Linked DNA regions of Xenopus tropicalis. The protein of the gene in region 1 purifies or fractionates together with the protein of each later gene. This does not show direct contact. Links are inferred from orthologs where the notes say so. Each region holds a gene or a part of one and is shown on either strand. Other genes may lie near its edges. The genes, in order: snap25 and stx12.

Evidence for each region.
Region 2: the proteins of snap25 (region 1) and stx12 purify together in Homo sapiens (co-immunoprecipitation; 3 studies listed by BioGRID and IntAct, with this or other methods). This does not show direct contact. The link is inferred for Xenopus tropicalis from reciprocal best matches to the Homo sapiens genes SNAP25 and STX12.

What each region holds. Positions count from the first base shown.
Region 1 is NC_030681.2:26,669,187-26,673,558, reverse strand, and holds the start of snap25 (synaptosomal-associated protein 25), read right to left. Parts: upstream 2,977-4,372; 5' UTR 2,909-2,976; intron 1-2,908.
Region 2 is NC_030678.2:83,638,865-83,643,126, reverse strand, and holds the start of stx12 (syntaxin-12), read left to right. Parts: upstream 1-1,273; 5' UTR 1,274-1,294; coding exon 1,295-1,388; intron 1,389-4,262. UniProt on the Homo sapiens protein: SNARE promoting fusion of transport vesicles with target membranes. Together with SNARE STX6, promotes movement of vesicles from endosomes to the cell membrane, and may therefore function in the endocytic recycling pathway.

The DNA.
Region 1 (4,372 bases):
GTAGGTATTGCCTGCAGAATCTTCAGATAAATATCTGATAGAGAAATGATACGCTGTTTATGAAAAGTGTGTGTGCACAAGGCTATTGATGAAACCAGGACAATTGTAATATTCGGATTTCATTGTTTGCCTTCTGACTTGAACAATTAATCACACCTGGACAAATAAAGTGTGTTGGTGAATGCAATGTTGTCGGTTTGTGTTGACTTTGCTTCCCTAGCTCTATTACTAAAAGGCAATGCATATAATAATGTACCAATTACATGAACGTGGTTATGTGCGAAATAACAGCCATTACTTTTCCGACTATTAAAAATTAGTTACAGTGCTCAAAAATTCACTGCAATGCTGTATTAAAGGAGCGCTGCCATACTATACTGCAATACAAGAATCCATGAATCAATAGGCCTGTTTTTTTGTAAATAGCTGTTCCAGTGACGCAGTTTGCAAAAGAGGGACTGGGGTTTCAGTTGCTTACATTAATAAGAAGCACTATAACAATCATTATACACAAATGTATACGTATTACTTTATATCCTGCATTAACCAAAATGTGCCTATGATAATAGGGCAAATTAATGAATGTAAAAGGCTCTGTCTCATAGTCAAATGATATATTATACAGATCACTATATGACATTAGGAGAGGTTTATGCCACATTTGTCACTTCATTTATTTAGCCAGACAGTCTCAAAGCAGGATATTGTACAGGTTGTTGGCCTACTGATCTGAACAAGAGGACTCATCCACAGTAATCCCCTGATATAGCACCTCTATCTGTTTTCCTCAGTACGCATTTCCTGCGTTGTAAAAAAAAAAAAAGAAATGCAGCCTGCCTCGCAATCTCCAGAGATGCATCAAAAATCCAATTCCAAATTCTGATTCTGAATAACCTCTACATTAAAGGGACTTCCATGTACACAAATGCCATCTGTTTCCTTTGCATCATGTTTTATGTATGTAAACACATGAGCGCCCTTTGATTAATGAGTGGAATGGGAGAATCTATTGTAATATACTTCATTTACAGGTCAATAATTTATATGATTATGCTACAGCTACGTTCTACTCAACTCACTAACATTAACGTATTCAGCTGTATTTATCAGCAAATGAATATCCGACAGTCTAAACAAACCTGCAGTACAGAGGTGTTAATAAAACAAGTGAAGAGCATAGAATTAAATATACAGTATATATACACTTTTAACAGGTATACAAATGTCATTGTAATAGCCTTTATCCTGATAGAACACGAGATATAGACCAATCTAGGAGTTTTGTTCTTGCAATGCAAGATACCCGTAACCAGATATCCAAATGTACTGTAATAGCAGTTCAACCAAATCCAACATTATTTGTATTTTTCCCTTGCTACGTGCTGCCATGGTCTGTGCTACAGCAGTGCCCAACTCAGTCCTTGGGAGCTGGCTGAAAAGGTGCATTGGGGTGGGGTCTCTCTGTTTTACAGTCATTCCACAACACATCGCTTTGCATGATGAAACTGCACCATTTGCTATAATATTACTATCAGGGACAGGTGGCAATCTGCTGCAAAATAGATCATTACTGGGTTTCACTGTCAGATGCATTGATTGATCACTGATCATGTGACCAAGTAATACATATCTTATTTATCAGTGAAATGAGATGGGTATAAGACACAAACAAGCTAATAACTGCAGTGCAATTGCTTCTGATAAATATTCTCTTAGGGCGCAGGTTAGTTTTGCCTGTAGAAGTCCCCTGCCGCCCATCTGAGCAGCTACAATGTCTGTGTAAAGGTGAAGCAGCTCTACAAACAATTCCAGCAGCCCTGAATGTGTTCCTCTGCCACTAGGGATGTAAGTCTAGCAGTGCCCTGCCTCCCTCCCTTCTTCAGCTAGAATGCAGATCCCCTCCCCCTCGCTTTCTCTCTAGTGGGTAACAAAACCAGCAGTAATTACTAATGCCCCTGCACGTAAATCTAACAGCTTCAAAGCCTGCCTTTTGACGCAAGTACGCAGAACTGTCTGGACGTGTCACCATTCCCACCCCCCCATTAGTCTTTGAAGTTCTAAGCTCTTCATATAAAAATATATACCTTTACATATGAATTTAATATGAAACATGCGAACATACACTGCACACCTTTATATCCCACACATGAGATATGCAACCTATGCCCCCAACATGCTGTTGTGAAGTTACAAGGCTGTTGGGAGTTTCAGAGTAAGTTGTAGTTCAACAACAGCTGTTTGGACATATCAGATACATATACACTATATCTATCTGTCATTGATCTATCTATCTAGCATGTACCCATCTATCCAGTATCTAACTACACCTTGTTGGAGGTCAGGAACGCGTATACATTCTATAAAGTATGGCAGCTAATGTTAGCAGTGCCCCTGGCACTATCTGATCATAATAATCGCAGCCAGAAGCCCACAAATCTGCTGTGGGGTAAGGTATAGGCTGGAGGCGAGTAAATCCCTTCCCTACAGTACAGCGTGTCGGTGCCAGACGCTGCGGCAGGGAGCGGGCGTTTTTGCTGCACTCACTCTGCAGTAGAGCGCTGTCCGCCGAGCTGCGGTGCTGAAACCGCCCACAAGCACAGTCTATGGGGCTGCTCTCACGTCTATTCCTACAGAGCCGAGCGCTGTGCCCAAAGGGACGCGGAAAAGCCCGATTTCCTTGCGACAAACGCCAAGGATGATTAAATCCCTTGCAGCCTGTGCAACACGAAAATAAATTTGTTCAAAAGCGAGATTAAAAATAACAAAAAAAAAAACGCCGCCTTCCATTCGACTGACAGCCCCAGACCTGATTTGTAGACACATACAACAATCGCAATCTTGGGCTAAAGGTTGGATAAATAGTAATGCAATAGGAAAACGTAGAAGCGACAAGCAGTGGTAGTCTTACCGTGAGTAGGGCGTAACCAGACTCTAAGGCTACTCTACAACCTTATTTGAAGGCAGTATTTGCAGGGAGGTAAGAACCACCGTTCCTGACCTCCTCAAGTCGTCTTCTTCAATGGAACTGAGCTCTGCCCTCATCAAAGATGGCCGTCCTTCTTGACGTCAGCAGCTTTTAATAGACATCTATCATGGGGCGGAGGGATCGGGCTGGGGGAGCTTGAGTCATCGTCTGCCTTACAGTGCTGCAATCCTTCGCATTTTAATATATGCGCCTTGATTTTCGCGCATCGCCCCCTCCCTGACAATGCTGCCGTATAACGGCTCCAAGATGGATTCTTTGCGACTAATGAGCTGCGGGATAGATTGGCTGTACAATGTGAGGGTGGGGGTGCGGCTGGGTGCCTTGCTCTGGGCTAATGCAGCACGGATTTCTTTTCGCCAAAGGGGTGGTGCAAAGGGATATCCCTCTCTGGTGGGTGCTCCTTATATGGGAAACCTACGTGGGCAGCCTGGCTATACTGGCGCTATAAGAGATTTCCTAGGATGCTGCGACTGAATGGGGGGGGGGGGGGGGGGATGCAGGTATAAACACTGGGTTTAGTCATCACTTATAACAGGTTCTAGCATTTCTAGCCAAATTACTTGCTGAGCTTTAGTTACCTTTTAGGTTTAGATCTTCAGACTAATTTCAAGTGGGAAGGGCTGTACTGATCATATAGGCACCCAAGGGCTCTTGCCTAGGGCTGCAGCGTCAGGGGGGCATCTCACAGGTACCTATATTAAGGAATACAGTCATGGGAAAACATGTTGTTTTAAAAAAAGCATTAGCTTCTCCAGCAGGATCCTGCATTGAAATCCATTTTTCAAAAACACATATTTTTTTATATTTCATTTTGAAATTTCACATTGGGCTAGCCATATTCTTCATTTCCCAGGGTGCCACAGCCATGTGACCTGTGCTCTGATAAACTTCAGTCACACTTTACTGCTGCGCCCCAAGTTGGAGTGATATCCCCCCCCCCCGAAGCCGATCAGCAGAACAATGGGAAGGGAACAAGATAGCAGCTCCCGGTATCAGAATAGCACTCAATAGTAAGGAATCCAAGTCCGGCTTGGGACTCCTCCAGTTACATGGGAGTAGGAGAAACAATAGGTTACCTGAAAGCAGTTATAATGTGTAGCGCTGGCTACATCTGAAAGCTCAGACTCTCTGCACTGAGATGGCGCCTACACACCAATATTACAGCTGAAAAAAATACATTTGTTGGTTCAAGAATAAAATTTTAAATGGTGGAGTGAATTATTAGCTATGTAAACTGTGTAATTTAGAAAGTACCCCATAAAAATCATGACAGAATCCCTTTAAATTAAAAAAAAATGAAACATTTCCTTAGTTGTTTTATAATCCTGTAGCGGAACTGAGGGGGAGGAGGGTACCCATTGTTTCCAATCCCTTCCCGAATGGCAC
Region 2 (4,262 bases), on another chromosome or scaffold:
TGCCAGGCCCACCATCAGAAGATTATTTCACCGAGCACTGCACAACAGTACCCCTCTCCCCCTGACGGTGGCTCTGAAAGAGAGGATGATAATGGGATGGGAAAGAGGAGAGCAGTTAAGGGGTCTTTTTTTAAAAATTCCTGGCGCACCTCTGCTAATTCAAACTACCGTATTTCTACCTCCCACACACACAATACTTTCTTAAAGATGATTCAAAATGCAGTGACGCAAAGATTTTTGCGTGGCACAATACTCATCACTTGCCTCTGTAAGAACAGTAATCCCTAACCAGTGGCTTGTGAGCAACATAGTGCTCGCTAACCCTAGATGTCTCTCCAGGGGGTCTTAAAGCAGGTGCTTGTTTTTTAATTTTTGGCTTGAAGGCAATTTTTAGTTGCATAAAAACCAGGTGTACTGCCAAACAGAGCCTCCTGTATGCTGCCAGTCCTCATAGGGGCTACCAAATAACCAATCACAGTTCTTATCTAGCAACCCCCAGAAACATCCATACATAAAACGCTGCTATCCACTGGCACTGATGGACTTACCAAACTGCCCTCCCTCAGCATTCAGAGTTCCCAAGAAGTCCAACAGATATTACACATCGCCATGTCCAGACTGGGAGTCAAAATAGGCCCTGGCATTTCAAGTACACAAGAGGTCCAAACAGCCCTCTACCAGCCCAATAAATATTAACTGTCTATAACATCTTACAGCAGCTCCTCTGGCATTTGCCAGAACCCATAGATTGCCAGTCCCAGCCTACACATCACTCATATATAATTCCTGTATATATCACCTTGCCCTTTAACAGCAGCCTTGAACATACATATCACACACTATGCTTCAACTGCTTACCTGTTGTACAGGTAAACAACATTTTACTAAAGATCACAATACTTGTCCCCCATGTGCACCCAGCATATTTCTCATCTCCCTCCATTAAATCCAAGTACTAGGGGTGTAGGGAAAAAAAAATAATTAGACCCAGCAATTGCTCCAGGACCTGGGATATTAAGTACCCCATCCTCCAAAGGCGCACTTGCTGATTTTTATAAACCAGCAGAATTCTACATTTGCATTCCTTGTTCTCTTTAAAGGAGTGGCAACAACAGCATCTTTTCCAAGCTGTCACGTGGTATCATGACTGGGAGGCGCTTATCGCTGATAGGAGCCTGACAATTCCTACGTGACATCACGGTCACATGGCTATGACATCACGACTTCCTTAGAGTCGCTTCATCCCACCATCTCTTATACTCAGAAAGGAGGACGGGGCCCTAAGAGGAGCAACATGTCTGGGTACATGAAGCAGCAGAGCCGTGCCCGGGACTTCAACAGCATTATTCAGACCTGCAGCGGCAATGTGCAGAGGATCACAAATAACAGTCAGTATCCCCAGTTTTTCTACAGAGCACCGGTCCTATTCCTGTATATATATCCGTGATCGCAGCGAGCTGCACACACCCGCAGTATATAGATGGGGGTACTGGTGGAGATTTGAAGGACGAATTGTTAGCCATTGGCAATGGGAACTTTTGGACAACAGAGATTAACATGTTATATGGGCCCCTTGTATTATGTGTAATTCCCAGGTGCTACACACCCACTGATGTACAGGAAGGGCGGCTATACTGACACAGCTGGAAATAGAGAAAATTATTTATATAGCATTGCATATATGGAGACTGGACAGTTGGCAAATGACAAAAATCAACTAATGTTTCCTTGTGTTGGTTGGTGGGTGGGTGTACAGTACAGCAGCTATCAGCTGGCATGTTCATTGGCAGAGGGGCACAGAGAAGCAGGGGTGACAGGCAGGAAGGGAGCTAAGTGCAGTGGGAAGTCATTTCCTACTGGAGATTCCTGATTGGGTTACTGTTACCAAGAAGTTACTACTGTTAGGCTTGTCACCTGGTTGGGCTCTTGCTGTGGTTAAACTACACATTACAATATTATCCTAAAGGCAGCATTTGTAGAAATGTAGTTCAGCAACCAGTGAAATCAGGCTGAGCAGTTTTACCCTCGCTTACTGAATTTGTGTTGAGTGGGTTACATTCCTGCCTTACTCCATGGGGGTTTTTTGTTCCCCCCTAACTGCCTGATCACTGCTTTGCAAGCTCAGAGAAAATTTTGGGCGTGGGCACAAGCAGGATTCACCAGGTCAGGCAGGGGCCATGAAATTGTAATATTTCCTTCCTCCCAGCATGACAGCAGGATAGGAGTTCATAATGTGTGATTTATCATGTTGAATGAATGAGACTTGGCAGGAAATATGTATTTTCTTGTATATCATTATGTATTAGATTCACAGTATTGACTTCTGCCAATCATTACATACCCCCAGAAGTAAGTAAATAAATAAATATGGAGTCTTGGTACTACTGGCCTCTGTTCTTCAAGTCTATGTGTAGTTTCATTCTTAAACAAGTGTTCAGCTCTTAATTAAAGGATGCCATGGAATAGTAGTAAATACGTCATAAGAGCAATTTGTCACTCCCTCTATTTGGACTAGACATAAGACATTTACTATCCAAACATACCCATTCCTTAACCATCTTAAAGGGGCATCTTTAACAAAATTACACTTTGCCTGTTGGTCATGTTAGGTTTAGTAAAGTAAAGGAATTTGGGGGGAAAATACCTTACATTTTTACTTGTTAAAAATCCTATGTTTCCGCTTCCATTTGAAAGTGAAATCACATGATTAATGTCCTTAGTCTAAGAAGGCAGCAGTCAGTCCTGTCTTGCTTTATAGCTGAGAATCTAGTTATCTTTATAACAGAACATTCATTGTACTGTGATTCAAGCAGGCTTGGACTGACATGGTATTTTTTTTTAAAAAGGTTTTTTTGAGATGATAGTATCTTAATTATATTCAGTATTTTTAATGAGAAGTGGTAAATGTGCACTCCATGTGAGAGCCTCTAATTAAAAGTGGATATAGCAAGGACGTAATTCATGTAATGAGATTTTTTGTTCATTGTTCACTATGCTGCTGTTTTTCTTTTTGTAATTATAGACTAGCACAGTGCAGTGTTTACAGGAAAATTGCTGCTGTCCTACAAATGACTGTTATTGTATGTTTTGGAATGGCCCAGTTATTCTGCACTGATAACAGCACACTGCTGAGATCTGATAACTGTGTTTTCAGCTTCTCGGTATGCTGTCAAGGTGTGTTGTTGTGTCATACTGATATAAGGTGCACTGTTGTCATGAAGTGCGGTACAGGTTGAAGTTACATAGTCTTTTTCAGATAGGTAATGTTTTATTGGGCATGTTCAGCAAATATAATTTATACAGAGACTTTACAGGTTTTCACAGGAATTTGTTGGTGAAAAAGGTTCCTTCCATAACCTAAAGCTTTAACACTGAAGCCTGGCATCCCCCTACCCCCTTTACTTACCTGTGGCACTTGTCTAGTCAAGGTTGATTTAAACAGTACTTCCAGCCTTGTCGGGTCAGTACCACACCCAAAGCCCAACATCTTCAAAACAGCAGCCATTTCTAAAAAAGAAGTTGAAGTCTGGTACAGGTAAATAAAGAAGGTGCAATATTTTAGTTGTAACTCATTAGAGATGGCCTAGAAAAGGAATATCAATAATAAATATAAATTTCTATTAAAAAAAAAAAAAAACACAGGTACAGGTATGCGACCTATTATCCAGAATGCTAGGGACCTGAGATTTTATGGATAAGGGATCTTTCTGTAATTTGGATCTCCATAGCTTAAGTCTACTAAAAGATTATTTAAAAATTAACCTCAATAAGCTTGTTTTGCTACCAATAAGGATTAATTTTATCTTAGTTGGAATCAAGTTCAAGTAACTGTTCTGTTATTACAGAGAAAAAGGACATTTAAAAAAAATATTAGAATTATAGGCTTATAATGGAGTCAGTGGGAGTCGGAACTTCCTGGATAAGGGGTTTCCTGATAACAGATCCCATACCTGTACAGGTTTGGGATCAGTTATCTGGAAGACTTCAGACCTGGGGTTTTCCGGATAAGAAGTCTTCCCATGATACTGATCTCAGTACCTTTTTTAAATTTGTTAAAAGGAAAAAAATAATCTGCTACCAACATGGATTTTACTAATTTAGTTACCATGCAAGTACAAGGTACTGTTTTCTTATTACAGGCAGTATGGCCACTTATGACCCACCCCCATTCTGGTCGAATCATTGGAATACACAAGTACAGGTGATTTTCACAAAGACCACCCTTGAAAATATGCACAAGGATTTCAGATGAGAATCCCATT